Linked DNA regions of Oreochromis niloticus. The protein of the gene in region 1 binds, or shares a complex with, the protein of each later gene. Links are inferred from orthologs where the notes say so. Each region holds a gene or a part of one and is shown in the gene's direction. Other genes may lie near its edges. The genes, in order: virma, zc3h13, mettl3 and rbm15.

Region 1 (7,171 bases):
GGAATAAAAACAACGTGTATCTTTAATAAATGTTGCTCACCAAGTGCCGCTCTCGAACTTCTCATTAACTCTCTCTGGGTTAGAAAACGTGTGGCCTGCAACAGCAAAGCGACAGAGTCACCATGATAACACACACAGTAATCAAGCTGAGACAGTTTTTAAAAGGCAAAGCAAATGGCTGAAGTCTAAATCAGGTAAGACCTTACATTTCTTTTCATCTTAATTAATGGTTTGTTAAATGGCACGCTCAAAAGTGGCACTCCAAAATCTTGGATCATCAATTTTTTTAATGATTTTTTTTGAAAAATTAACATTTCAGTTATCCTCAAGAGAGGTTCTAATTAAGTTTCTATTTTAGTTCACAGCAGGGTCTTACTTAAAGTAACAGTTTTGGAACTCATCAGTAGTTAAATCGATTTACCTGACGTGTCGTGCTAATGTTACTCGGTAATGTACACGGTACTTACAAAATGGCTCGGATAGCAGTGCCAGGACAACGCTGGACATAAGCTGAAGCTGCTTTGTGGCTACTTCTGCAGGTAAAGGGACCGATGGATCCAGTGTGGCAGAGGGGTCCCACATGGTGGGCACATCAACAGGTATACCAAGAGCTGAGGAGGAGGTGGTTAAGGAGCCCAAGCAAGGGAGCGACAGTGTTATTAATCATGAATACGTCATGGTCCAGCAGGATTGGAGGTTTGTTTTCTTCTTTTTTTCCTCTCTCTCATTTTCTAAGTCCATTTTCAGTTTAGTTGGAGTTGTATGCTTTGAGTGGAGCCCACTCTCTCAGCCTTCTTCTACACCTGCTCTGAATCGCCTCATCAACCTGAAGTATTAAAAGGCAGGATATCCGCAAGATCGCTACACCGATCATGGTCGTAACCAGGCCCTCGGCCCTCTTTGTTGTTAAGTTCTAGTTAACCTCGCTTCTCTATTTGCCCTCTAATCTCTTGCTCCAAATTCTGCTTACGACTTATCCTCATTCCCGAGGAGCTCTGCTCAAACCACCAGGTAAACTCACCTGGCTGCCCATGCTCCACCACCGCCAGCCTTACCTCTCTCTAGATTCCTGCCTGCCTTCCTGTAACCCTCCTCCACGATTCACATCTGCAATCAAGTAAGCTTTTTTACCTGGATCACACAAACCAGGATGTTCATCTGCATTTAGAGAGGCCAGCACTAAATCCCTCTGTCCTCTCCAAAAGAAGATCCGGTTGTGTAGCAGCAGCGTCATTTGCCTGCTCCCAAATAATTTCTGTTGCTGGTTTAATAATTTTTTTAAAACTAAGTCTGATCTGTCTCCAAAAGTCTGATCTGTTTTTTCCCAAATCATGACAGAATAGACAGGTGTGTGAAAAAATGAAAAAAGTGAAAACAGAACAGCAGAAGACAAGGTTAGAGATACACATGTGTTTTTCTTCCTGTACCTGTGTGTGCGTTTGTTTGTGTGTGTGTGTGTGTGTGTGTGTGTGTGTGTGTGTGCGTTTGTGTGTGTGTGTGTGTGTGTGTATGGGGTTGGTCCTGTTGGGTAAACACACACTCTTTCACTAAGGGCTTAGTAAGGTGCTGCCACTCTTTCCTTATTTGCATTTCAAAACCTTTATCCCTACAGCCAACAGCTCAATGCACATGTGTTGTGGATTTTTGAGGGTAATGCAACGCACAGTATGAGAAAGAACCAATCAATCGGATCGAATCAATCAAGCAAAATAACAAGTGTCTCGAAATCCATGACGGCATAAACGGGTAACAGGACATGAAATGTTAATGTAAACAGGTGACGTGTTAAAAGGATACACTCTGCCATGGTGTGGACATTCAGAGCTTTGAGGTCAGGAGCGGGGAAGTGCTTCTTGAACTCCTTCCGAAGGTCAAAGAAAGAGTAGAAAGAGTCTGGGACCAGGATGTTCTAGAGAGGAATAAATTGTGTGAGTGAAAGGCCCATCAGCAGCTGCTCTTTTTATTGCTCTGATACTCATGTTTGCACAGGCCACAAGAGCATGCACTGCCTACTTCTTCTATCATTAACACACAGTTTTAAAACACTTGGGAGAAATTTCATCAGCCTCATTGTGTGCCTGTCTTTTATCTGCATGAGTGTACGGTATGCGCATGGGCGTGTGTCACCATAGTGGCTTCTCCTGTAGATCAACTTTCAGTGTTAACATTAAAGTTCAGCGGGCAGTGCGATGCTGACACAACACATCCCTCTGAGAGCGTCGAAGGCTCCCGCAGCAGCGAGCGAGCGAAACATCCGCCCCGGCTTGCTCACCTTGCTCGCTGCCTCGGGGTGAATCACTTGGCGGATGTGGAGCTGCCCGTCTGTACACAAACACACCGATGTGCCTGCGCCCGCGCTGTTCACCTCATTTGTCAGTTGCAGATGAAACTGTAAAAACATTTAGAGGTATGAACTTTAATACAGCTGCTTTAACCAGCGCTGTAACGGTAATTAGTAATCAATAAATGGCCTATTAATGGATTTCTGGCCACTTTGAAGACATTACCATGTTTAAAGCTTTATCAATGCTCGGTGCTTTGTACACACAGTCTGCTCCAGATCCATTCTCCTGTTCCACGCTCTCCTCCACCACATCCTCCTCCTCTTTTTCTTCTGTCGAGTCTGAGAGGTCAGGCTTTATGAGGAGCTCATTCACCTTGCCCAACTGGTTCAGAGAGGAAAAAAACAAGTCAGCCTTGAAACAGCAAGCCTAGCTAGAAACTCAGAGGCTTTGGAACAATATAATGAAACGAGCATGAAATATATGTGTTTGCTAAATAGATATTATCACAGTGGAATGCAGGAAAGGATCAATTTAAACGTCTTCCATGTAAGGGAGAAGGTTTTTTGTAATTAAAGAGAATAATGATTTCTGAACAGGTGTGTGTAAGCAGGAATCCCACAAAAATCCCCCTGGCACACCTTTCTTGCTGTTAATAGAGGTCTGACATTATGTATTGCAGTCCACCTGTCCACTCCTTTGAACACCACATTTCCTGCTTTGGAGTCTCGATGATTAGCAAAAAAGATCAAGCAGCCTACAAGTGAGTTGTTACCTTTTTGTTCTTTACATCCACGAGCTGCCAAACCAACTGCACGAGCTCCTTCTCGTCAGACCCCAGGAGATCTCCGCTCGCGCCAGATGTGGCGGTGAAAACCACCACCAGGTAGTCTACCTGCGCCGTCATCTGAATCTAAAACAGACCACAGAAAACTAATCTAATACTAAACGAGACTAAAAGGGACTCAAGATCAGCGGGATGTGAAACGCAAGCGGGACGCGGGAGGTAGAAACACCTTTACTCTGACACCTGAGCGCAAAGGTGGGTTCCGTAAATCCAAAGTTTCGTCGCGTGTGAGATTTTATGTGAAGCCTCCCGCAGTCACCATCGCGAAGCAATGGCTGAACGCTCACCGCTTTTGTAGTGAAGCTACCTGTGCGACCACGTGACCCCTTCACCTGGCCCCTCCCTCTTTCAGGTGGTTCAAAGTTTAGTACGTGGCAGCTCACGCAGGACAGAAAAGGTAATAAATAGTTATTAATATATAACAACAACGACAAAAATAAATAATAACATAATATTAATAATAAATGTGTTATATTTTAGTTACTATGCAGTTAATTATTAAAATAATGTAATAAATGTCTCCATAACAATTCAACAAATCGCATTCAAGTCTTAAAAAAAGGAATTGACAAGAAGAAGAAGTAAAAGAAGAAAAAGAAGCAGAAGAAGAAAAAATGCTCGTGAGAACATTTCGCATTTTATGCTGAAATACGGAAAAAAATTCCGTGAAATCCGTGTAAAAATGAAACAGTTAAAAAAAAACTTAAAAATACTAATACAGACCAAGTGAAGCTATCATGTTATTAAATCATAAAGTTATTAAATTATGACTTCGTGATATTTTGCTTCAATGAAAATATAAACTGAGTAATTGATTTAAATTTTTTTAAATAAAAAATAAAATTTCTTACAACAACAAAAGTATTCCAGAAAACGCTTGTCAACTTTTTTTCTCCTAAACAAATATAAATTTTCCAACTATATTTCTCATAACAACAACAACTATTACCACTACTACTACTACTACTATTGTTGTTGTTGTTGCTGTTGTTATTGTTGTTATTTTTAATTTTATTTATTTGCTTCAGGGTTGTTGGGGGTGGGTTGCTTACTCCGGAAGTATTCACTTTAATCCGGAAGTTTACCCCTGGCCCGGCCGATAGCACTGGAGCGATGGCGGGGGACCCTTCAACGGAGCTTCTTTTTCTGGATACGTTTAAGCATCAGAGTGCAGAGGTAGTGTTTTTTAACACTTAAACACACTCTTTTATGTTTACCCCATGACTACCTGCATTAAAAGTTAGTTTTAAGCGCATTCAGGAGTTTTGAGGAAGGATGCTTAACTTCCAGGCTAACGCTGTTAGCTAACATTAGCAGCGGTGTGATGTCATTATCCTGGTTTTAAGCGGCGATTACTGCACAGCTGTCCGATTATACAAAACGTGTGTTTTCGGTGTCAATGCAATCCTCATACATTAGCAGCTAAAAGAGTTGCCGTCTTTTGTGTCCTTGCACAGTTTGATTGATGGTTAGCCAGGTGGCTAATGCTACATCAACATTACAGTATCCCCAATATGTAGAGTGGCTAAGCATGTTTACCACGAAGCGGGAGTAAAAGTGACTTCTGCGGATGCCGGGGGCTATAAATTATGCATTTCACCATTGTTTGTATCAGTAATCATGTCTCCTTTGTTTCAGTTAACCAACATAGACGTGGTGCGCTTTCCCTGCGGGGTGCTGATCACAGAGGTGCGGGTCATTCCTCCAGGGATCAAAGCTCACAGTAACCTTCCTGACAGCAGAGCGTTTGGGTAAGATTCATCATGCCCGCATGAAAACTCATGCACACACTCATGGATCTTATTGCTACACCCAGTTAGGCTGAATGCATTCTAATCTAACAGCGTTGCCAGCATGTATATCGCACAGTTGTCTCAGTACTAATTGAGATACTGTACCTTTAAAAGGCAAACACCATACATGATTTCAGTGTGGCTACCGTCCTCATCAATGCAGTCTCCTAGTAAAGCAAAACACACTCTGAGTTTTATAGGACTCATTGGACCATTTCACCTATTAGTTGTGCAGAGAAACTATTAACTTCTGCATCAAACTGATAAGGTTTCATTTCAGAACAATGATTGCCTCAGATGAATCCATTGGTGTGTGCATGATAGTTAGAAAGTGCTTAAAGCCATAGGCTAAAGCACTTTGAGTCATGGGTTAAGTATGATTCAGACTTCTATGGGGAATCTTTGTAGAGTTTACAACACTCTACATAAATAACTGATGTCAATGCTGACATTGAAGCTTGTGCTGGTGCATTACTTGTTAATTACCTTGTGATGGTGTCCCTGTGTTTTATATGTGTTGCCAGCTGATAGAAATAAATGAAATGATGTGAATTTGTTTGGGTTCTTTTTTAAAGCTTTTTGAGGGGAGGGGGTGCATTTGTCTCTGTAGTTGCTCCACTCCTTTATACCTTCCCTCAAGTCCATTCCGATACTTTTGGTAATCTCCCTCCAGGAATTTGCTGACATTTTTGAGTCTTTATATTTCTGCTATGGTAATTTTTTCTTATACTGAAGTGACGATTGTTATTCTGTCACCGCTAAATTCAAAAACTGTGGTGCAAAAGTAGCCAGAAATTCACAGGAGGGATCAGTGGTACTGAACAGGCCAGTCACAATTGTTGTGGGTTGCGCTGACCAAACATTTAGTTACGTTTCTAGGGAGGTTATTGTCAGGTCACGGCATACGTTTCCCGCTAAAGCACAAATTTCCAGTTAGGGTAGAAAGGTGCCATTTAATTACCAGTCCATTTTCAGTGAAAGAGCTGACATGGTTGATAGCCGTGCTTGACATTTTACACACAGTGTTGTGCATTATGAATTTGGTTTCTGGGATACTGTAATGTTGATGTAAGTGTCTGAGGGAGAACATTCGGAAAGAGTTCATTAAACAGTGCTCCCATTCGGTCTGTAATTCTGATTTTAATTTTGGTATAACAAATACCTCTTTTCCACTAGCACCTGCTTGACTTGACTGGACTCACTCTATTCTGCTCTATTCGGGTTCTATTCTACTTAGTTTTAGTCTTTTGTCATTATAACTGTGTACCACCTCAATGTGGGTGGGCCCGTGATAGAAATGTGGCCCAAAAGTCGATTGATATCATTTGTACGTGCCACAAACACAACAGTGTTCAAGCTCCCTTTAGCACAAAAACATCTGAACCTCGTTGTTGGAGCACGGCGTTGGTTTGTTTGCATTTCCCTCGTTGCTGAGTTTTAAAAATGGCATGTTTGATTCTTGTGAAGGTGTCTCACTCATGACTAATCTGGTGATATCCCTCTCTGGCCAATCAATGACATGGAGTCTGTTAAGGTCAGGTTTTTAGCTGGACTCAAGTCGTTTGGAACCCTGGCCAAGTACTAAAATGTACCTGGTATTACCACTTAATGGAAAACCCTAAAACTGAGTCAAGTCGAGTAGGTGCTAGTGGATAAGAGGAAATACTCAATGGTGTCACCTTTGTCCCAATGCTAGAAATCAGAATTATATAAGAAAAGCAAACGTTGAATTGGTTTTGAGTTGCAAAAAACCTGGGGTCTTATTGCTAATGATATATTGCCTGTGGAGATGTTTTGGGGGTTGCTTTTTTTTTTTCTTTTTTTTTTTTCTCTTTTTGCTATGGATACCTGAGATAAATGTGTGTGTCTGGGGGAAATTGAGAAGCTTGTGTGAATAAAGAAGTGTGTGCATTTGATACCTGAGCTCCATTGTTGAACAGGTCCCAATTCCCCCCGAACCTGCTGAGTGATGTAATTTAGCTGAATGAACAGACTCAAGAATGCACAGTCCTCTAGCATTGGTATGCATTGTGGTAGTATTGATATTATGTTAAAGTGCATTTATTTTCTGGAAATCCATGATGTATAAGTAACGTCTGGTCCAAAGTTCTGCCATAAAAGCTACTTTTATCATAGCTACTGTGATCCATTTTTTGTTGATAGTCATAAAAGTTGAAATCAGTTTCATTTTTATACTGGGATCATTGCTGACGGTGGTGGTGGTGGCTTTTCTAATATTCTAACCCCCC
Region 2 (7,347 bases), on another chromosome or scaffold:
TTGGTTTATTTGTGGGATTTCGCACAACCCAGGAACAAATCAGGAATACATAATGGGCTTGGATTTACAACATTATGAATGAAATGTGCTCTATTTGGAAGCAGCCGGCCCCCCTCGCTTTTTGACAGGTTGTGTGAGACTTTAAATCATCAAACTGTAAATTATAAATTTTAAATTGTTATTGATCCCTTTACCCCTGGTCCTAAAACGCATATTTATTTTCTTACTCTTCTTATATTTATTTTTTGTTTTCTTGCACTGCTGTAACTGGAGCCTCGTCGTCTCGTCTCTCTACATACTGGACTGTATGTAGCGGAGATGACAATAAAGTTTACTTTGACTTCAGCAGCGAGCAGGCGCACCGAGGGCTCTCGCGCTCACTTAAAAAACATCAAATGCAGGGGTACATTAAGTGCAAATTATAAGTCTGTATCATAATGTCTGCTGTTTTCGTGTTTGTTGGTTTGTTTTTATTTTGTTTTATTTTGCGAGCTGGTTATTAGATGCCGCTTCAGCCAGCCAGAGAATCCCCCGCCGCGGCCGCCCCGCCCTCTCCTCCCTGTGCCGCAAGCAGAAGGCGCACGTCGCAAACCGAGGGCGCCCTTACTCCTCGCATATGGGTGATAGAAAACCGACCAGTGCCCATTTAATCCCCCAAATCGCTGGCATGATGTCGGGGCAGCATGGGTGCATGCAACTTTTTTTTGCCGATGCCCGTGATGCCGCCGCTACCGTCAACAGTAAGATAAGATAAGATAAAACTTTATTAATCCCTCGGGTGGGTTCCTCTGGGAAATTCGGTCTAGTAGTCTTGTAAACACATGAATATTCTGATAACATTACTGAAGAGAAGAAAATGTGTGGACTTCTATACGACTCAGTAAGGCTTTTAGCTGTGGCCTTGATTATTTTATCCATGTTATTTTTAAGAATTGTCAGACAGTGAGCGCATCTCACTTCAGAATACACAAAATCTGTCAGATGTTTGATAGCAGTGACTATTATGTTTCGATCCAAAAGTGTTTTGGTGCAATTGCTGCATTCGCTGAAGATTCTCGTTACTAGAAAAAAGCTAAATTCAATTTTCTTAGCATCAGGCGACACCAATGTTTCTGACTTTCTTTGACTTTCTTCCTCTGGGTTTTCAGAGGTTGGTTGTTGACTCTGACCTTCTGTGGGTATTAAAATAATGTATAAAATCACATTATTTAAATTATTAATTCATGCAATTTAAAAACATTTAGTTATTTCACTACTAAAGTGTATAATGGTTTAATATGACATGCCAAGAGTGCCAAAAGCCATTCATTAAATAATTAATTAAATGTGTCATTTATTAATCACAAATGGGAATTAAAGTAATAATTTTGTAATTAGATTGTTAATTAATTAAAACATAATTTCCTTTAAATTAAAAGCACATTTAATTATTTCAGTTAACTATGTCGTGTTTCCCATATGGGGCATCAAGAATGCCAAAACAAAACAACTAAGTACATTATTTATTAATTAATTATGTGTGTCAATAGATAATTCATTGGAAACGCATATATAAATAATTTATGCACTTACTATTTTTTAATTTTTTTTTTTTTTTTGCCAACAACATGTTTATTGAATAAATCCCCACTGACAGCATTAAAAGTCTTTATAAAATGAACAAGCTACCAAAAGCAAAATATTCGTAAGGCATTTCAGGACACCATTTGAAAATCATAGATTGCTATATATACACTGCCAGTCAGAAGTTTGTATTTATAGGCAATGTTCATTGTACCGAGGCTCAACGTGTTAATGCTAGCTTACTTTAATAAACAATACTGTCATATAAAAAGCTGGGGTGGCACTAGGGGTGGCAAGAGATTATAGATCCGCCCCTGTTTATGATCACTTTGAGAAACAGATGTTTAGCTGGTGCTACTGAACTTTCAGAACAGAGCAAACTCCAGAAACAAAAGCTGTATCTGATACACAGATGAGCATTATCACACCCAGGAAGATCAGAAGAATCAGGCGGCTGGTGGAGTGACTCGAACACATCTTCAGACGCTGAAAGGCACAAAATCTGAGTCTGGAGCTGAGCTCTGAGCAGGTTTGTTACCAGCTGATGAACAAATGACAAATCTTTAGTTTAATTCTCCCTGAAATGTAGAGAAAAGAGAGAGCAGGAAAGGTAAAGTTAGTTAGTTTATTACATCCAGAGAAGTATTTTAATATGTTTTATTGATAAATGTTCCCTGGGCCTGTGGAAAGGCTTTCCATTAGCTGAGCATGGGGACTCTCTGTGACGTGATCTTCCACCAGTTTCGTCCCTGTTAACGTGAGGGTGTTGATTGGGTGACCAATTCCAACAAGAGCCTGGGACGGTGGTATAATGCAGACCTCAGTGGTACCTGGCACCTTGAACAACTAAGGCAGAACATGGCTAATGACCTCAGGCTGATTAACAACACTGCACTCCCAGGGAAACTGAAGCTCTGGTGCTTCCAGTTTGGGTTGTTACCCAGACTACTGTGGCCGCGGACAATGTACGAGGTCTTGCTCAATCATGCCAATCGATTGTTCTTCACCACCCTAATTAATTTCCTCGTATGGCAAATTAATGACACATTGGGGGGATTTGTGTTTATGTACAATTGTTTGAACTTTTGACCCCACACTTTCTTATAAATGGCTCCACAAGTCATTTAGACTATTATAAACACACAATGAGTTCCTCAGATCTTCCTGTTGTTGTGAGATCAATCCAATGAGTAATGTCAAACGAATTCGTTTTATGCTGGCGTAGTAAGGACTTCTTTGTGGAAAATAGTACACTTGTGTGTATTGCTTGTGAATTCCACCAACTGTTCAGTGTCATTTGGCATGTTAAGTTCATCTTGGTCACAGACATGTTAATGTAATGAGTTAATGTATCTAGATTAGCTGTTGGATCACATTTGATGATTCCTTTTCTGCCTGGCAGCTGTCGACCGTGTTATTTTCCCTTGTAGTTCTTTGGCTGTTTAATGCTTAATGGTGGGAAGAAGGATTGTAGTAGGAGGTCTGTAGCACACTGCTTCAGAAGCACTGTGTCGAGACTTGATTCATTTGGCCAGAGTCACGTGATCAGTGACATCCAAAGCTTCATTTAGAAAGTCACTGCTTCGGTACCTGATTCCTAAGGAAGTGAATCATTTGCGGGATTTGTGGAGTGTTTTGATGGTGAGCGATAGCAAACTACTGATCATTCTATTGAGAGATATGGAGCCAGCGAGGAAGAGAGGAGGTTCTGTCATGTGGGAGCATTTTGAGTTGATTTTGGCCAATCGGGTCAGTTTGCCACCTTTCTGTTCTGGTTGTTTGCCTTTGTTTTGGGTTTACTTATTTTATTTGAAAATGTGAAAATCGTAAAATGTCTTAACAAAACATCTGCTTTTCATAATAAACATCATTACATAATTTTATTTTTTAAAATAATCTTAAAGTGCTATTCTACAAAATGTGGAGCAATTTAATTTGTTTATTCTTTTTTGGTGACAGTCTGTGGGACCCAGGAAGACCGCATACCTGCATCTCTACCAACTTCCATTGCAGTTTCTGTGCACTCCAGCCTCTTCTTCAGTCTGTTCCATGTGAGAAGATTTTCTCTAAAGCAGGAGAAATTATCTCCAAGAAAAGAAACAGACTCGGCCATCGCACAGTGGAACAAATTCTCTTCTTAAATAAAAACCAAACAGAATAACCTTAAATGCATCATGTTTTTACCTAACAAGTTCATAAACATTTTCCCTTTCCAGTTCACAAACAATTCTACTCCCAGGTCAAAAATATGTATAAGAAAAATGGCCTAATATAATATTATTTATAATACCACACCACGGTACATGCTTAAATAAGGAAAGTTTATTGATGAAATTAATCTATTAAACAAATAGACATCATTTTTTCACCCAAAAGATACATATTCAAAGCAACACAAGGTGGACCAATATCAGACAGAATTGTGAACTCCACTCTGTAGAGTAGGCAGTCATAATGAAGCAGTACACTTTAATTAATTTGTAAATTCAAGCTGTTCTTCATATTTTTGGCCACCAGATGTCACCAGAGATGACTGTGTTGAAAAGCTTCGACAGTATTGAAATATAATGTTTTTTCTGCTACATTTACAAAACAAGTTTCCCCGACAGCCGAGTTATAGTCTTAGCTAGCTAGGTCCAAAGGGGCCATCTTTCAAGATTTATATCTTGTGTGTATGTGTGTGAGCCACCGCAGATGACCTGGGGAAAATGTAATTAAAAGCTGTACACATGAACAGGCGGTGGCGGTAATGCATCGCCGTGGAGGTCGACTTCCTTCTTCACAAACCACAAAAGAAGAAGGACCTATGACGCGCACTCTCCGCCAATATGAAGGCACCCAGGGCAGTTTCTGCCTTTGCTTTTAAAGAATAAGCCTTGTAATTTTTTTTACAAGTGCTAAATCCGCCAGCCTGATTAAAGTAGGTGTGACACCGAAAAAATATCTTGGGTGAGACCGTGTTTTCATTTACAGATTAGCATGCAGGTTACTGGGGCAGGCTAAGATAGGCCCCGCGCTGAGATAAAACATGACACAGTTAACTTTAGCATTAGCCTGCATTCGCTTGTTTTATTCTAGTATGAGATATGCAGAATAATTACTGTTAACCTACGACGCTTTTTGAATATCAGATGCGTCCTGGTTAGTTAAAGATGGTAAACAGAACTCTGTTCTTGTAGTTAACGGGGAACTTCAGCTTACTTAAAGCTAGCATGCGTTATTGCTCGCTATAAGTTAGCACAGAGCAGCTGCACGGAAGGCAGATATTTGCATGTGTTTATGTTTTGGATGCTCGATTATGCAGAGGAGTACTAAAGCATCCGGGAAGGCCATGGGCTTATCAAACGGTTGCAACAGTAACAGTGAGAACTGGGTTTTCGGTTGCAGTTTAAGATCCGTTGTAAGTGAATGAATTAATTCAGGGAGTGTGAGGGAATCGCACTGCAGAGAAAGTTTCCTGACAGACTTGCTTTGTTTTTTGTTTTGCTTTTTTTAAGTCATTGCTTCTAAAGTGCCAAGTTGTAAACATGCAGATGATTAAAGACAGTTCATTGAGCGTTGTTTGTCATACTTGCAGTCCTGCAGAATGTCCAAGATCAGGCGGAAGGTAACAGTGGAAAATTCAAAAACCATATCTGACAGCAGCAGCAGCAGCAGCACCACAACCAGCAGCAGCACCAACCCCGCCGCTCCGTCCCGCAGGCCAAGTGTGTTTGAAAGACTTGGACCCAGCACTGGGAGTAATGCTGCTGATGTATGTATAACCCAGAGGTCAGATAGGGTGATCCAAGTCACTGTGTCTTTGAATGAATATGGCACAGTGCTTTGTTTCCCCTTTGGCCTGGCTCATCTGTGTTTTTTTGTTTGTTTGTTTGTTTGTTTTTTTTAGAGTCACTGTAGAAATTGGCTGAAGACTGGGAATTGCAGTTACGGCAACACTTGTCGCTACACACATGGAACTCAGCCACGAGGCAAAGGATTTAGCTTTAGCCGGTAAGATGACTGCGGTTAGTGAATTTGTATTGATTGTTGCTTTTAAAATCAAATCGACCTTTGTGCATGTGTTTTTCTAATGTCTGCGTTAATGAAACAGGTCAACCGAGAGGCCCACAGGTGATCTGCGGGAGAGGATGAAAAATAAAAGACAGGATGTTGAAGCAGAAAACCTGAAACGAGACCTAGATGAGCCCACGTCCCCCACAGTAAGAGTGAGTCCTCTGCTCTTTTGGTCTTTGATAATAACGCATTTCTGAATGAAGAATCTAGTTTCGATTTGAAATCATTTTGGAGATTTTAGTACATGATGCACAACGGTTTGTTTGTGTGTGGTGCTGTAGCAGAGAGAGTCCTCCAGAGGCCGACACAGAGAGAAGGAGGATATAAAGATAACGAAGGAGCGTACCCCAGGCAGTGAAGAAGAACCCACAGAGTGGGAAACCAATCGTGAAGGTTCGGTGTCTTGTTTTGATGAAGTTTAAAGGGAAAATGACACATTTATTTGTAAATACCATTTTGATGTTGTGGCTTGAAACGCTCTTCTCCATTTCAATTTTATTGTTTTGTTTTGTTTTGGTTTTTTGGTTGATTTTCAGACTCTGATATTGGTGATTACGACTATGAGCTTTCCCTAGAGATGAAGCGTCAGAAGATTCAGCGTGAACTAATGAAATTAGAGCAGGAAAACTTGGAGAAGAGAGAAGAAATTGTCATCAAGAAAGACGAGACTCCGACGAAATCCAGAACCACAGCCTTGCCAAAGGTAAGGGATGAGATGCTTTGATGATTTCAATACGTGACCTCTGGATTTCAAAAGTATTAGCACAGCTCACTTCCTCCGTTGAAGTAGCTGTCTGCAAGGGTGATTGTCATCTGAATTTTAGCTCGATCTGTCACATTTATCCTTCAGGCTTCCCCTGAGCAGTTAAGCTCCAAAGATTCACCCTCATCCAGAAAGTCCAGTGGCTCGCCAAAACATAAACGGGGAAACAAAGGGCTGGGCTCGGGGAAGAAAGAAAAGAAGGCATCAGTATCCTCACCTGTTTCAGAAACTACCAGGTAGGGAAGAAAAACAAAATATGAGACCTACAGATTTGATGAGGTTCTGATGCATATCTTCCATCATTCTTTAACCAGGTCTTCGAAAGGAAGCCACAGCAAGAAGAAAGGGCCCCGTACCCCCAGTCCCCTTCCACCGGTCCCTCTGGACCTGCCCGTGGTCGGGAAAAAACACAAAGGCAAGCACAAAAATAAGGAGAAGTCTGACGAGAAGCAGAAGGAGGGTAAAGATCGTGGACGAGATGCAGAAAAACACAAAGAGAAGAAGGAAAAACGCAGGTAAAGTGGGGACTTAGTGCATGTGCATCATGCAGCGTACGTATGTGCATATGTTTTTAATTTGTTGAGTCATATTCACAGTTATCCTGAGTTATCCTTTTCAACTTCCAGTGCTCGCTCTTTATAATGTCACCTTTTTGTTTGAAGGGATAGATCAGACAGTTCCCACAAGGCCAAGAGGTCTGTGACATCAGAGGAGCGTTCTGGTAGCGTGTCATCTCCCTCCAGGGGTGTGTCGCCCTCAGCCAGGAAGAAATCTACCTCTCCTAAAGCTTCCTCCCATAAGGCTTCTATCTTGGCATCCCCTCCTCACAGGTGAGCACACAGAGACCTTTTTTTCCAGGGCTGTAAACATTGCAGGATCACTCACCTGTACTTCTTTCTTCACAATTGGGTAAATATTTGGACATGACAGCCAAGAGGAAATAACGTTTTGTCACTGCAGGTCTC
Region 3 (8,003 bases), on another chromosome or scaffold:
ATTTATAACAGTGGAAGCAAACAGGCTCAAAGGTCATGTGCTGCTCATATGCATAATTACGACTATAACAATGAAGACAACATGAGTAATAAAAAGATGATGACATTAAAGAAATTATGTGATCTTAAAATACTTGAATTACGTTAAACCGCTTCAGTTAAATCTATTTATCTTCTTTTTTTAAAAATCAGTACTCAATGACATGATTTGTGTAGCTATTATTTTATGACAGGAGTTGAGAGCTACATAGTTCAGATCACCCGTGTGAGCAAGACACATTATAAAGAGTTTTACTCTAGACAGAAATCACTTTGCTGCCACTGATTACACGTCAATCATTAACATTTTGGAGTATCAATGGGTATTTTCCAGCATCAGCATGTCAGAGCTTATTTAGTCATTGATAATATTAAATCTGATGGTGGCTGATAAACCACCTCGGGGACTCGTAGCACAACCAAAACACAGCATGATTTTCACCGACTTCTCTTATGTATGTTTTTGTATAAGGACATACAAACAGACATAGGGAGTATGTCGGTGCTTTTGTAAAGACTCTCCTACCTTGTTCTGTAGGAGTTCGGTCACTTTCTCTAAATATTCCAGCAGCTGCTTCTCTCTCTCTGGTGGCTCCTTCCAGCCGGGGTCGAGCTCGGCCGCTCGACTGTAGCCAGCGAGCGCAGACCCGTACATCTCCTCGTACTGGAACAGCGTGGATCTGTTGAAATGCAGCTCCGGGTAACAAGAGGCAGCTCGATCCACCGTCTCCTACACAGGGGGAAAACGGGAATAAAATACAGATGCCCATGTTGATTATTTATTTATTTTATTATTTATTGATATTCCCTCTGGTGTGTAGCTGTTCGTGTCTGTACTCACAGATTGTGTGTAGGCACTTAGAGCTTGTTGAGATAGCTGTGGATTCTGTCCACAGGTGAAAAACAGCGACACATAGGCATTTCCCAGGATATCTGTAAAAACAAAAGCAGAACAACATGAATTAATGTCCCAACAGTCTTTAGCATCTCTAACAAAGAGCACCGTCTGTCTTCACTCACACCAGGACGTCCCATCCTTCACGTCCAGCTGCACGGCCTGCCGGGCCATGTCCACGCTTTCCAGCACCTGCTTGCCGTGAGCGTCGTTGTCAGCCGCGGGCAGCTGCCTCAGCACCATGGACAGGTTGCGAAGAGATACTTTGTTCTTGCTCTACAGAGGTGGAGAACAAAACACACTAACATGAATGAATCCTAACAGAAAGGATAGGAGATGTTATCTGGATTAATGCTCAGAAACAGCTTTTAAATTCACTGGATATTGTTGCCAAACAATTCAGTGAAAGTACTGACAGGGATTGGAAAAGTGGGCCCCATTAGAGCTCTTTTAGAGCTCTTTGCTCACAGACTGCTGGCTTACTTGTCATTTATTAGCTTATAGTTAAGCATAGCTGGATCAGGTGACCCTGAACAATCCCTTAGTTATGCTGAAATAAGCTTAGGCTTAAACTTCGCATGATTCACTGAGCATTTCTTCTTCAGTCCCTGCTTTTCACTTACAATGTGCTTATACACCAGTATTGTATCAATCAGTTTTCATTATTAATCTCTGGCTCTCTTCCACAGCGTCACTTTTATCCAGTTTCCCTCCCCTCATCCCCCACAGGTCACAGCAGATGGCTGCTCCTGCCTGAGTCTGGATCTGCCAGGGGTTTCTTCCTGTTAAAAGGGAGTTTTTTCTTCCCACTGTCGCCAAGTGCTTGCTCAAAGGGGGGGGGGGGGGGGGGGGGCATCTGACTGTTGGGGTTTTCGCTGTATTATTGCAGGGTCTTTAATATAAAGCACCTTGAGTGATTTGGCACTATATAAATAAAAATGAACTGAATAAACGTGACAGTTTGGCATTTTAAAAACGTGGTAGTTTTGTAATTTGACAATATGGCTACATGTTTTTAGCACAGAGGCTGCTTTTGCAGCCTGTGCACAGCATTATGTTCATTACAATATTAAACAGAACACAAAAGTGAAGTAATTAAATATTTTCTTTGCATACCAAAGTATGTAAAGGTCTTGTTTTTGTATTACTGATTCTTGTGGTGTGAATGGATGAGTCTGAATAACTTTCCAGCTTTACCAAAGTCAACAACTACCCATCACACACGTCCAAAGAGCTGAACATATTGTTCAAATAACTAACTATGGTCGCGATTAAAGCTTCAGACCAACAACTATGGAGATAATGAGGTAATATAATCAGAATCTAACAGATCTGCCAGCCTGAACAGAGATCAGCTGAACACAAACCAATTTGAAGTGGATTTTGGGTTTCCTGGTTTGGGTTCAATGATTAGAAATGTGGAGATTGTTTCACCAGTAACTGGAAACTTGGGTCATATTAAGTTAATTACCTGCTGTAAGGCACCAGTGAAGCAGTTTTTGGCACCGATCAGATCTCCTTTTTTCCAGTACTGCTCCCCTAACGTGTTCCAGCCCTCCACCAGGCCAGGCTGCAGCTTCACCGCGCGGGACAGACACTCCTCTGCTGCAGCACTGAAGTCTGGAGCCACGTTCAGACATCGTCCCTTTTGCAGCAAGAACTCAGCTTTGTGTTTAAAAGCGTCTGTTGGAAGTTGTAAACGGAGCAGGTGTGAATGAAAGCCTGCAAATTAACTCACTTTTTTTACATTTAAAGAGACTCTTACCTTCTTTTTCCTCCAGCTGCTTCAGCGTCCGTGCCATCTCTTCTGCTACGTCGCTGTGTTTCCGTCCTGCATCCTCCACACTGTGAGTCTCAAAATAACAATCTCTGAATTTATACAGATCATCCACCAGCTCCTGTCAGGAGAGAAGACATGAAACGGACATAAAAATAGAGCAAACACACATTTCTCTCAACCACATCTGTAGTACAACACTGAGACACAACACATCAACAAAAACTGCTGAGGAGTAAAACTACCTGAGTAAACTAATAATTTAACTAGTACTAACAGTTTATACTACACTTGGGAATGTTCTGTGCAAAAGTCTTTAGACGCTGCAAATTTCTTTACATTAGGTTAGAAAACAGGTGTACAGAGATGTATTAAAATTAATAAACATACATGGAAATACAGTATACAAAGGCAAAAAAAAAAAAAAAAAAAAAAGGAGTCTTTGGGAATAGTTCTCGTCGCTTCTTGAATGACATCCAAAGCTCTTCTTTGGATGTTGGCTGCCTTTTGTTCTGTTCTCTGTGAAGATGATCTAAACCCCTGAACTCTTTCCACATGGATCAAAATATGACGGTACTTATCTGTGTTCAGAATTTCACTAATTTTGACAAGATCTTCAACATCACTGGCTCTCATCAGTACATACTAACAATGATTTGGACCAAAAATCACTGTCAAATGTAAAATTTGGGTTCATCACTCCATCAGACCTGATTTTCAGTCCAGTTGTTGTGTAAGTGGGCATACCGCATTTTCCTATTTCTTAAGGACAGGACAGGTACTGTTCCATCTACTGTAGACATTTTTTAAGCCTGTCACTTCTTCTTTTGTCCACCACTTGTTCAGTTTAATTATTTTTCTTAAGGACACACTGCACACCATACATGAGATATAGCATAGTTTTGCGCTAATATCTCTTTGGGAATCACCCATTTGTGCAAAAATACTGTTTTCTGTCTGTCAACCTGTGTTATCTTTCGCATTTTCCATAGATACAACTAAAGAAGTTGGAACAAATTATGCGTTTTTGTGACAAGCTGCTGGTAAAAAAAAAAAGTCCCTAAAGATACAATTAAAAATTGGTTTTTTGCCAACATGTCCGTTATGTGTAGACATAACAGCATTTTCAGGCTTGGATGATTCATATTTCACTTTGGAGTAATATAAACAAACAAACAAACAACAGTATTCCTATGAAAATGGTGAGGTATAAGGACTGGACTGGAAAGGGGTGAAAAATGAGCCAATTTCAAAAGAAACATTTTGAAAGACCTCCTTAAAGCCTGGAAAACTATTGCTCAAGACCACTGAAAATATTAGTACAAGATTTTTGTGCAGTATTGTGTTACAGCATGTTCACTGTTAGTTTTTTTTCTCATTTTCTAATTTAACCATACTTCACTCCTGAGTAAACTTCTGCTACAAACTACTCCCAGAGTGAAAGACTTCGTTTTTGTAACATTATAAGGCATGAAACATCGAGGGGCCTACAGAGAACAAATCAGTACAGCTGCACTCCTCATCCTTGGTGCACTAAACCCGAGGCACCCTGACAATGTCGTGACTCAGCAAGAAGCGCACAGATCCAAACAAAGCGCGAATATCAGCCCGTTATCTGGTGGTTTAAATCTGTGGTGTGAAACATCTGAGGCCAATCTAGCTACAGAAGGGTAAGTGTGGCACTCCTGCACCTGACACACCAGCAAATCTTAAAGCTAGTACTAAAAAAAATCTGTCCTTCGGCGTGACAGCTGCAGCCAGCTGTTGTAGCAACGACTCTTTCTGGAGACTCACGGGAAGCCAGCTGGGCACAAAGGCTGGAGACAGTCGGTGCATTTGAATAAATGTGTGATTCCGCTGAGAAGAGTTACCTTCATAATCTGCAGCTCGTCTTTGTTTTCCACAGCCTCACCACTCTTCTCCTCTTCCGCCATCTTTGCGTTAGAGCATGGAGCAGCAGCAAAATCTGACAGCGAGCTGGAGCAAACTGCACCAAGTTACTTAATAACTATTAGATATTGGGCTATACGGTATGTCTACTGCCACAGAAAGGTAATTTCTTCAAGGAAGCATCGCGAGTGCAGTCTTGTTTCAGCACAGAGGAAACGGGCTTTTAATTTCAGCGACGCCGGAAATTGAAGTAGTCCGTACTCAAAACGAATCCGCCTGGAAAATTAACAGGTGAAGTTTAACGTGGTGAATGATTTAGTTACCAACATGCCACCTTCGTAGATTGAGATATATATGTATTATATTTTACATCATATACCCTCCATCCTAAAACCACGACAAATCACTACGAAAGCGGAACGTTTAATCCCAATTAAGATGCTACCGGACACACATTTTCGTGTTGCACCGTACCCGCTTCCCTCCAAGGGTGGACTGGATTCAACTTTTGTTTAGTTTCCCGGACACTCGGTGCTCGGTGAGGCCAGTATTGGTGTTTTTTCTGCCGCTGAGTCCAGCTCGTCATGTCGGACACATGGAGCAACATCCAGGCGCACAAGAAGCAGCTGGACTCTCTGCGGGAGAGGCTGCAGCGACGGCGGAAAGACCCTGCTCAGCTGTCCGCCGGTAGGTTCAGGCCGGGCAGTGCCCAGCTAACGCTGGTATTGATACCAAAAGGGCAGTTCCCCCCCCCCATACATTTAACTTTACGTGTCTTAACTCAGGTCTGCAGCGCTTTGCAGCCATTTAAACTGTGTAAGCTGCCGTGTTATGGCGATATCGTTTTCCTCTGGTGCTCTAAGAGCCAAATTACAAATAGAAAAGCTTTCTAGAAACAAGGAAAGAAGGGGGAAAACATCCACTAACCTTGCCGTGAGTGGTTTAATTAAAGAACGTAATATAGTTATTACTATGTCTGAACTACACCTTTCAACCATATCACTCTGTAGGAGAAAGTATGGTAAGAGCTGGTGTTACTGACGGTGTGGCAAGATGTAAATAAACATCAGGCGGTCCCCTCTCAGCTGAGATCAAAGTTAGCTCACTGCACACGCCATCCTCCCCATCCTGCCGGCGCTCTCTTCTTCAACTCTCTTGTCTTTTGCTTTGGGTGATGAAGCGCTTTAGTGTATAGGATAAAAATGATTGTGTTTAGATGTGATTGAAGTGCTTGGTAAATCTTGAAAAGCACAGAAATGCACTCCAGTCCATTCATTTAGTAGCTGATTTAATTGAGCGGATTTGCCTTCGCTGGCGAAAGGGGAACTGAGTTTTATAAAATGAAGGTGGGGTTTTACTCGGTTGTTGCTGGAAACTAACAAAATATTGTGTTCGTTCTTGCTAAATGTGATGCAACAAAAAATTACTATCTATATTATTGATCGGTCAGGTATTTTGTTACAGGAGACAACCAGTAAATTAGCTCAGAGTATCCAGCAGTTGTAGTGATTTGCTATAAAGCTGCCTAAGCTCATTTGCTTTGATGCCATGCTGGGGATGTTGCAGTGTATATCAACAGTACGAGCACTGGAAAGGAAGAGGACATTTACCGCTGGCAGTAATCGATATGAGCTGAAAAACTTTAAAGCAGTTCTGCTGTTTCACTATGAAGATTTTCCTAATTCCTCAAAACAAAAAGGAGTAACAAACAACAACAAACAAAGGATGATTCTTGTACCATTAAATTAAACAACAATTTTTATAATTACTTAACCTTTTTATCTAAAAGTTATGAAACATTTTAAGGCCTTTCAAATGAGGAATATTGACAATTTTCTCTGAACTCGATGCTTCATCCTTTGTTGTCCCCTCAGATGGTGGCGGCAGCGCAGACGGGTCCACAGTCAGGAGTGACAGCCCTGCCCCGGCAGTTCCGTCCACCTCACAGGAGGAAACAGAAAAACCACCAGACCCCGAACTGGAGAAGAGGCTGCTGGGATATCTGTCTGATCTGAGTCTCACACTGCCGACAGACTCCCTTTCCATCACAAATGAACTCAACAGTGTGAGTTTTTGTCTCCATTGCTCGTGTTACCCTTAAACTCAGTGATGTGGGTTTATTTTTGACATCTCTGTTGTGTTTGCTTCTCGTCACAGTCAGAAACAGCCGTTAGTCACGGCTGCATCCAGAGCCTGCTGCTTAAATTCTCTGCTCAGGAGCTCATCGAGGTCCGAGAGCCCACCTCAGCTCCTTCTTCTTCTACAACTTCCTCCTCCACGTCTACCCCGACAGTGGTTGTAGCTGTGGACCACACAAAACTTTGGGCTATGATTGGATCTGTAGCTGGAGCCCAGAGAACTGGAGTCAAGAGAAAAGCAGAAGACCAAATGCACAGCAAAAGGGCTGCAGGCTTCTCGCCCTCGCTTCAGAGCTCTGCTTCTCCTCCTCACTCGTCAACCACATCGCTGACACCCGCCTCCTCCTCAGAGCCGGGGCCTTCGGCGTCAGGGAGCGGGACCGAGAAGAAGGGCAGGAGCAGTAAAAGCCAGTCGTCGCATTTGGACATGGAGATCGAAAGCCTCCTGAACCAACAGTCCACCAAGGAGCAGCAGAGCAAGAAGGTAACAGAGGGTTTTTTGGGGTGTTTTGTAACCACTTAAAAATGGAGTTGTCATTACTGCTGCAGCTATCGTGCAACTCTCTTTCGTATCCAGTTAAGCCGAGAGATTCTGGAGCTGCTGAACGCCAGCACAGCCAAGGAGCAGTCCATCGTGGAAAAGTTCAGATCCCGCGGCCGAGCTCAGGTCCAAGAGTTCTGCGATCACGGGACCAAAGAAGAATGTGTTCGTGCTGGAGACACGCCTCAGCCGTGCACCAAGTTACACTTTCGGTCTGTATTTGCTTCACAAGGTCTGACACTGTTACAGACAGCCCCACAGATTAAACTGCTACCAACAAATAAAACCTGAAATCAAACACAGCAGACATGATAATAAACTAACAAGACTAAAAGTTTATTTCCATGACAGTCCTGGATTGTCCAAATCATGAGAATACAGGCTGCTGTGCTGCAGCTAGAAAAGAGCGTATCATAAATATTACAGATTATATGAATGGGAAATTCTAACTGACCTGCTAAGTACATTTACCCATTGATCGCTTTCTTTTTTAAGTATAGCAGATGTCCATCAGTGTTTGAGTAATACTCTCTTTGGCCTGCAGGTGGCACTGTGATTATGCTAAATACTCTATATTTGATACACCACATTTTGAGAGTGTTCTGCTCATACACATGTCTAAAGTGCTGCACCACAAGTTTTATTTTGCATCATTTTAAGTGATCCAACAGATACAGTTTGGAAAACTGTCCTACATAAAGAGGGATTCTCTGCCCACTTCGAA
Region 4 (7,349 bases), on another chromosome or scaffold:
CATTATGTTTGTAGAGGTTTATACTTAAACAATTATAAAATCGAAATCAAATTTAGCATTCCATAAAAATAAATTTAAGCTGTATCTTCAGGCAATGATAGTCTCAAATGATTAAATTACAGTGTATATTGACGCAGATTGACTTAGAAAAAACTGTTAGAATTTGTATACGATTGTATATTTATTTTGGTGGATGTGTAACTTTTCCTTTGCATTTTCCTGCCTTGCTTCAGTTCGGGACAAAGGCACTCCGAAAACCATGGGCTATCCTGGGATTGGCACAGACTGTTGTGGCAAGCTCAAAGAGCCAGGCAGTGGTTTACAAGGAGATTCTATCGCTGACTCCATTGACTTATCTGGCAAAAACAAGAAGCGACGTAATCGCACGACCTTCAGCACATTTCAGCTTGAGGAGCTGGAGAAAGTGTTTCAAAAGACACACTACCCCGACGTGTACGCCCGGGAGCAGCTGGCGCTGCGGACGGAGCTCACTGAGGCTCGGGTTCAGGTATGCCAGGGCAACTCCATCACAGTTGACACCTTTTTTATTTTCTAAATGTAATCAGAAGAAAGTATAAAGCCCAAACAAAAAATTGTCTTCTGGAAATTTACTGTTATACTTTTTTGTGTTATAATATATTTTATTTTTTAAAAGGTTTGGTTCCAAAATCGCAGAGCCAAATGGAGGAAACGAGAACGCTATGGGAAGATCCAGGAGGTTCGCAACCACTTTGCTGCTACATATGACATTTCTCTTCTTCCTCGCCATGACGCATACCAGGTAGGCCAATGTAGCTCTCACATGGCATGCATGTTGTAGTAGTAAACTTAACATTATAGAACTTGCTGAGAAATTGCATTTTTTTCACGTTACAGGACTGAACAATATTAAAACTTTTGCTGATATTGTTCTAAATTTCTCCGTATCCAGATGCAGGGCAATCTGTGGCCGGGGGCAGCTTCAGGAGGAGGCGGTGGTTCAGGTGCAGGCTGTGTCCTAGGGGCTGACTCTATCCCCTCATCCTGCATGAGTCCGTACCCTCACCCCCACAGTAATCTGCAGGGCTTCATGGGCATGCCCACATCCTCCAGCCACCCGCACCATCACCATCACCCGCCTCACCATCCAGGCATCAACAGTCTCTATTCTCTCCACGGCTTCCCAGGAGGCCTCGGGTCACCTTCCATCGAGGGCCCCGAGACCGAATACAAGCCAACAGGCCTGGTGGCACTGAGGATGAAAGCCAAAGAACCAGGCAGCATCCTCTCCTGGCCAACATGACCATAATAACGCCAGCTCCCCATTATGCACTGACTGAGCCGCAGCATATTACAGTCGTCACCCATACACGATCCCAGATGTACATTTGTGGATTTGACTCGAATATTTCCTCCAAACATTTATATAAATCAACTTGGAGACGTGTTGCTATTCAGAAATGTTGGAACAGGCATTTTGCAAACAATAAGGGCAACTTAAGAATCTTGCACGAAACCCAACCTATTAATACGAACGTTCTTGTTTAGAGTTCTTATTTTGCATCACAGTGCTGAGACCAAAGAGGAAAATTATTTAAGCATGTAAAAAATGTATCATATTAATCCCTTTTAATGTCTGTTGTGTTGTGCGTGAGTAATAAAGGGCTCCATGTAAATTTAACTGTCTTATTCAGCAGCAAACTATTTTGGAGAAGAGGGATTTTCTTTTTCTTTGTTTTTTCTTTTTTCAAAATGAACAAAAACCATCTCAGTTATAATTATTTTAGCCTTGACTCTTTTGCAAAACGATAGCCACGTTTGCAATGCAAATATAACTGGGAATGTGGTTATGAGGTAAAAATACTTTACAGGCTGTGGATCCCATAAAAAAAAAGGTTTCTGCTGTGCGGAAAGTGTACAGAGTGAATGTGCAGCCCGCTAGGCTTCACTTCAACTTACACTCCATGCATCAGGGGAAAGTGGCAGGTTCATAATGGAAAAACTAACCTGGTGACCACACTTCACTACTGATAATAAAGTAGATAACCACAGATGATTATGTATTTGTCATGCATGTCCTACAATGTGAGGTGTTTAATCGATTACTGTGGCTCAGAGCATATTTTGTATGCTGAGGCCAGGTCAAGGTCAAGTTTCTTCTGCATCCATGTGTACAAGCAGAATGTAACAGAGATATACTCACATTATCCTGAATGCCGTGCTAATAATTGTTTTCAGAAAAATCTCCCCAAACAATTTATGTTATTGTCAAGGAAACACTGAATTGCACGGTACATCCCATATGGTGTGAATTACTAAATGCCAGTGCATTCATGTCAAACTGGCAAACATTTCAATCTGTGAGACTGAGAACTGAATGTGAATTGAGAAAAAGAGTTTCACTGCGGGACAAAGCCCCGCCAAGCTGAACTCACTCCCCGGGAGTGTGCATGGCTTTCAGGGGAATATATTGGCTCCCCTTTGTCTTTGCCTGCTTCGCCTTGACGGCGATGCAGGGGCGGATTAGCTGCCTTTCCCTAAGTCTGTGCCGGAGTTTCCTGAGAGCCACTAACATGTGGTTCCAATAGAAGAATGCAGAAAGCCATCAGAAACACTTTCCACACCCACAGCTTCAAATTCCAGCCAGTCCCTGGGAGACGGCAGCTCTCACTGCAGTCACATAGTCCCCCTGATTAATTCCCAGATTAAGAGGAGAAGATAAGAAGACCTGTCAGAAGGGATAAGGGATTGAGGAGATTGCCGTGTTTAGGAAAGCTGGAGAAATAGCAGATGGCGGATCAGAGCTTAATTTTGATATTTATTTTTACAGTGTGAGCAGGTTAATCAAATCCACTCGTAAACAAAAGAGGAAGCTCGGTGGTTTACTGATTTTGATATTTTAATTCCTTAAAACAGTCAGAACAGCTGTAATAGATTAACTCAGGGGCTCATGATCATAGTTTGGCTTATTCTACTTCAAAAATGTCTCAGAGTGAACGTACAGTGATGTCATTTCACTATAGGGGGCCATAGGTTTTCATCAAGCTCTCATTAAAGTTATCATGCTGTTGCATTGGCTTTGATCTGTGTTGAATCAATGTATCAGGATCCAAAGAGCCTCTATGATTTTTTCAGAAAGAAATGAAAAATGATGAGTCATTGCTGCACAATGCTAGAGCTAATCATCACTCAGTATGTCAGGGTTGCTAGCTGTAGACTGTCACAAGAGCCTGGAAGCTAGTACACCCTCGGCCTCATTACTGGACTAAAAAATATGATTTAAGGCTCATTAAAATCGGTAAAGCTGACTGCTGGCCACTGCTCTGAGCTTTGATCTCAACAAGATTTATCTTGGCTTCAAGGTGCAGCTATTGAGACACAACAGATAGGCTACTTTTATTTAACATATCCCACTAAGGTAAACAAAGTAGTGCACTGTGTGATTGGCTCAGTTTCAGCAGTTTGTCAAGGCTGCTTCCAAAATTTTATCACTAGGAAAAATGTTTTGGCAGTTCATCCGAGAAAATCAAATATTCAGAATATAAAATGCTTGTGCAGAAGTGCAAACAGCAGTGCTCGATTTGAGCCAAAGCACGACTTGTAAAAAATGGCGAACTACTGTGACACATTAAAGAGCAAACATTAGTAGGTTGTAGTGTGATGCTTTGAACTTATATCTTTAAAAGGCTGTAATAGCTACTGCTACATGTGGCCTACACTGTAGCAGACATTAGTCAATATCAGCAGCTTGATTTGTTCATATAGTTGCCAGGAAAGGCCCTTTCCACTCAATGCCAAGGGGAGTGGGCTGCTGCACTTTCTGTTCAATACTGCCATCTTGTGGTATTGGCTCTAATTGAAGATAAGAGGATTATCTGTTCGCCTCCACACCGCAATTAAGTCATCTCACCTCCCGGGAAAAACGAAATGAATAATATTCTTAAGAAACCTGCCTACGGTATTATACTACAGTTAACAGTGGATGGACAGCAGAAACTGGCGTTGTGATATAAGGAATAAGATTTATCTTAAGCCTTAAGGTGCAGCCATTTAGACCTAACAAATAGGCCACTTTTATTTAACTTTTATTTAAATAAGTAGAATAGCATACAGCTCAACAGAATAAAAAATAATATGACAATGCAAGTGTCTTAATAAGGTAAAAGCTTTTCTGAAATTTCAAAGGAATGCAAAATACAAATAAAGTAATATTTACGTTTATATTTAAACAAACACAAACAATTTCGATAACTTATTTATTTATTTGTTATTTTATACTCAATTTAATTTATTAAGAAAATATAAAATTATAGTGCCTGCCGCTGGGTGATTGACATGCGCTTTAAAGTTTCCCACCCACTTTCTAACCAATCAGAATGAAGGGGTGGGTCTTCGAGCTAATCTTTACAAAATGGCGACTGTTGTTGTTTTGCCGCAGGGTCAGTGAATAAACCCGTTTTTCACTTCAGTAAATTTCTGCATTAAGTTGCAGAAAATATCGCACCAAGGAAGAGCAAGTGTCCCGACGGTTGACACCGAGTGGGCCGAAATGAAAGGTAAAGAGCGGTCGCCGATTAAAAAACGCTCCCGGGCCCTGGACGATATTCGAGACAGGGGAGGATGCCATCCGACCAGCAAGAAAATGGGGGCTCTGTCCGTTTCCAGTGGGAGTAATAATGGAAACAGTTCGTCCAAAAGCGACGGCGGCTCGACAAGACGGAGTCTCCTCGGGGAAAAAAGAGACCGAGATTTCGACGGTCACAGCCGGACTGGAAATAATCACAGTTGTCAGTCTGCAGCTGCCGCCGCCGCTGCAGCGAGCTCCGTGGGCAAAAACCACAACCTGAGCCTGACGCTGGATTTAGCCTCACCGAGGACCACCTCCCGGGGTGAGCCGCGGCTGCAGCCGCCCAGCACAGAGAGTGAGTACAAAACGCTCAAAATCAGCGACCTCGGCACTCAGCTTAGCGACGAGGACATCGAGGACGGACTCTTTCACGAATTTAAAAAATTTGGGGATGTGAGCGTCAAGATAAGTCGTAGCAACGACGAGCGGATAGCCTTCGTAAATTTTAGGAAGCCGGAGGACGCCAGAGCGGCTAAGCACGCCAGGGGACGGCTGGTGCTGTACGACCGGCCGCTGAAAATCGAGGCGGTCTACATCAACCGGAGGCGAAGTCGGTCTCCGGTGGAGAGAGACTTGTACGGTGCAGCTCAAAGCCACAGACATTTGCAGCGACCCCTCTCGCCCACCGGGCTGGGATATAGAGACTACCGGCTGCAGCAGCTAGCCTTGGGACGGCTTCCTCCACCCCCACCACCACCTTTGCCGAGAGAACTGGAGCGGGATAGGGAGTTCGCTCTGTTTGAAGCCAGAGCACGCCCAGCCTTCATTGCAGAACGGGCAGCTTTCCGGGAAGAGGATTTTATTTCCCCAGAAGACGACCAAAGAGCTAATAGGACGTTGTTTTTAGGCAATCTGGATATAACTGTTGCAGAAGCAGACCTCAGGAGGGCTTTTGACAGGTTTGGAGTCATAACAGAAGTGGACATTAAGAGACCAACACGGGGGCAAACCAGCACGTATGGATTTCTGAAATTTGAGAATCTTGACATGGCTCATCGTGCTAAGCTTAGCATGTCTGGTAAAATAGTGGGCCGCAATCCCATAAAGATAGGCTATGGGAAAGCAACACCGACCACGCGCCTGTGGGTGGGTGGTCTTGGACCGTGGGTTCCCTTAGCTGCCTTGGCAAGAGAATTTGATCGCTTTGGCACTATAAGGACCATTGACTACAGAAAAGGGGACACTTGGGCCTATATTCAGTATGAAAGTTTAGATGCTGCACAAGCAGCATGCACACACATGAGAGGCTTCCCACTGGGAGGCCCAGAGAGAAGACTTAGAGTGGACTTTGCAGACACTGAGCATCGTTACCAGCAGCAGTTCCTGCAGCCTCTCCCAATACCACCATTTGACATGGTGGCTGAGTCATTTGTCCACCGTGCCACACCTGAGCCACTGAGGGTCAGGGAACGAACTCCACCGCCGCTTCACTTCAGGGAGAGAGAGCTGTTTCCTGGAACTGACTGGCCCAATCCTGCTATTCGTGAGCGGGTACGTGCCTCACCTTTTGAGCCTCTGGAGCATTTGGACCGTGAGAGGCGAACTCGTGAGCCCTGGTCTTTGGAAAGAGAGCTGCAGGGGCGAGAGCCTGCGCGAAAGCGGCGCATATTGGAGGACGGACGCCACATAGACCACTCCCCTGATAGCACTGAGAGGACAGTAAGACGCAGACGTGCTTCTCCAGATGGCAGTCCTGGAGGCAGCAGCAGAGATGGAGGGCGCTTTAGTGACTCAGAACGCCCCCTGCGGGGCGAGAGAGCCTCTCCTGCGAGAGAACGCCACAACAGCCTTGAAAGAGGTGTGTCAGACCGAAGGCCCAAAAGCCAGAGTCTGTCTGATAAGGGACTTTCAAGCAACATTATTTCAGCAGTTGGAGAGCGCAAGCGCAAGGCAATCGATGGTGGCAAAGGACCAGCCAAGAGAGAACGTTCTGAGAGCAGCTCAAAGGGAGGCCAGCCATCCAAGCCGGATGGCAACAAACTCAGTTTGGCGTGGCATGGTATGCTATTGTTGAAGAACAGCAACTTTCCAGCCAACATGCACCTGCTGGAGGGAGACCACAACGTCGCCAGCGACCTGCTTGTCGACAGCGCTACAGGAAGGCGAGTGAGCGAGCTAAAGATCACGCAGCGACTCCGGCTGGACCAGCCCAAGCTCGACGAGGTGTCTCGGCGCATCAAGGTGGCAGGTCCGGGCGGCTACGCAATCCTGTTGGCGGTCCCCGGCACCACAGAGGATACATCTTCATCCGACCCTGCAGCTTCAACTCAGCGGCCGCTTCGCAACCTGGTGTCCTACCTCAACCAAAAACAAGCAGCTGGAGTCATCAGCCTGCCTGTGGGAGGAAGCAGAGATAAAGACAACACAGGGGTTCTTCATGCTTTCCCTCCCTGTGATTTCTCCCAGCAGTTCCTGGATTCCTCTGCCAAAGCTCTGGCAAAAAGTGAAGAGGACTATCTAGTCATGATTGTGGTCCGCGGAGCATCTTAAAGAAACAAACTACACTAAATTCAAATGGAATAAAAAAAAAAAAAAAAAATCTGCTGTATGTCAGTAACTATTGCATGCTGTGTGTTCTGCATCATGGAGTACACTAGTATGGTTATTGAGTGTTATGTTACCATGTAAGCCACTTAAAGGACAAACAGTGCCCCCCTGCAAAGCTAAAAGTATGTGTGTTTCTGAAGTTACTGTTCAGAGGTGTCAGTCACAATTATAAATCTGCAGTCATTTAGCCAAAATT

Evidence for each region.
Region 2: the proteins of virma (region 1) and zc3h13 are in contact, whole or in part, in a cryo-EM structure (PDB 7VF2), measured with the Homo sapiens proteins. The link is inferred for Oreochromis niloticus from reciprocal best matches to the Homo sapiens genes VIRMA and ZC3H13. Residues at the interface, in NP_056311.2 of Homo sapiens: Leu521, Ser529, Tyr531, Gln532, Leu535, Glu536, Ile538, Leu539, Leu540, Asp541, Val544, Val547, Thr548, Ser551, Leu554, Gln555, His558, Glu561, Val562, Ser564, Glu565, Lys567, Gly570, Asp571, Ala574, Glu575, Thr577, Ser578, Glu621, Glu625; in NP_001317494.1 of Homo sapiens: Pro1492, Leu1493, Asp1494, Val1495, Ile1496, Asp1497, Val1498, Asp1499, Trp1500, Ser1501, Gly1502, His1507, Leu1518, Lys1520, Phe1521, Pro1523, Val1526, Met1527, Arg1529, Val1530, Gly1531, Ile1532, Ser1533, Lys1535, Leu1536, Ala1537, Gly1538, Leu1541, Lys1544, Val1545.
Region 3: virma (region 1) and mettl3 share a complex: the UniProt entries of both Homo sapiens proteins name them as parts of the WMM complex. The link is inferred for Oreochromis niloticus from reciprocal best matches to the Homo sapiens genes VIRMA and METTL3.
Region 4: virma (region 1) and rbm15 share a complex: the UniProt entries of both Homo sapiens proteins name them as parts of the WMM complex. The link is inferred for Oreochromis niloticus from reciprocal best matches to the Homo sapiens genes VIRMA and RBM15.

What each region holds. Positions count from the first base shown.
Region 1 is NC_031976.2:20,073,957-20,081,127, reverse strand, and holds the start of virma (protein virilizer homolog), read left to right. Parts: upstream 1-4,167; 5' UTR 4,168-4,242; coding exon 4,243-4,305; intron 4,306-4,767; coding exon 4,768-4,880; intron 4,881-7,171. Other genes in the region: esrp1 (epithelial splicing regulatory protein 1), read right to left, coding at 41-95, 468-611, 1,798-1,909, 2,273-2,389, 2,508-2,666, 3,058-3,189. UniProt on the Homo sapiens protein: Associated component of the WMM complex, a complex that mediates N6-methyladenosine (m6A) methylation of RNAs, a modification that plays a role in the efficiency of mRNA splicing and RNA processing.
Region 2 is NC_031986.2:11,841,483-11,848,829, forward strand, and holds the start of zc3h13 (zinc finger CCCH domain-containing protein 13), read left to right. Parts: upstream 1-4,331; 5' UTR 4,332-4,512; intron 4,513-5,140; 5' UTR 5,141-5,149; coding exon 5,150-5,317; intron 5,318-5,452; coding exon 5,453-5,556; intron 5,557-5,656; coding exon 5,657-5,771; intron 5,772-5,900; coding exon 5,901-6,012; intron 6,013-6,155; coding exon 6,156-6,322; intron 6,323-6,469; coding exon 6,470-6,618; intron 6,619-6,696; coding exon 6,697-6,897; intron 6,898-7,044; coding exon 7,045-7,212; intron 7,213-7,342; coding exon 7,343-7,347. UniProt on the Homo sapiens protein: Associated component of the WMM complex, a complex that mediates N6-methyladenosine (m6A) methylation of RNAs, a modification that plays a role in the efficiency of mRNA splicing and RNA processing.
Region 3 is NC_031967.2:19,740,398-19,748,400, reverse strand, and holds the start of mettl3 (N(6)-adenosine-methyltransferase subunit METTL3), read left to right. Parts: upstream 1-4,987; 5' UTR 4,988-5,184; coding exon 5,185-5,287; intron 5,288-6,474; coding exon 6,475-6,665; intron 6,666-6,757; coding exon 6,758-7,222; intron 7,223-7,315; coding exon 7,316-7,491; intron 7,492-8,003. Other genes in the region: ttc5 (tetratricopeptide repeat protein 5), read right to left, coding at 565-768, 880-971, 1,059-1,209, 2,405-2,616, 2,699-2,831, 4,582-4,644. UniProt on the Homo sapiens protein: The METTL3-METTL14 heterodimer forms a N6-methyltransferase complex that methylates adenosine residues at the N(6) position of some RNAs and regulates various processes such as the circadian clock, differentiation of embryonic and hematopoietic stem cells, cortical neurogenesis, response to DNA damage, differentiation of T-cells and primary miRNA processing.
Region 4 is NC_031984.2:21,081,514-21,088,862, reverse strand, and holds the start of rbm15 (RNA-binding protein 15), read left to right. Parts: upstream 1-4,349; 5' UTR 4,350-4,528; coding exon 4,529-7,096; 3' UTR 7,097-7,349. Other genes in the region: alx3 (homeobox protein aristaless-like 3), read left to right, coding at 234-508, 656-781, 932-1,282. UniProt on the Homo sapiens protein: RNA-binding protein that acts as a key regulator of N6-methyladenosine (m6A) methylation of RNAs, thereby regulating different processes, such as hematopoietic cell homeostasis, alternative splicing of mRNAs and X chromosome inactivation mediated by Xist RNA.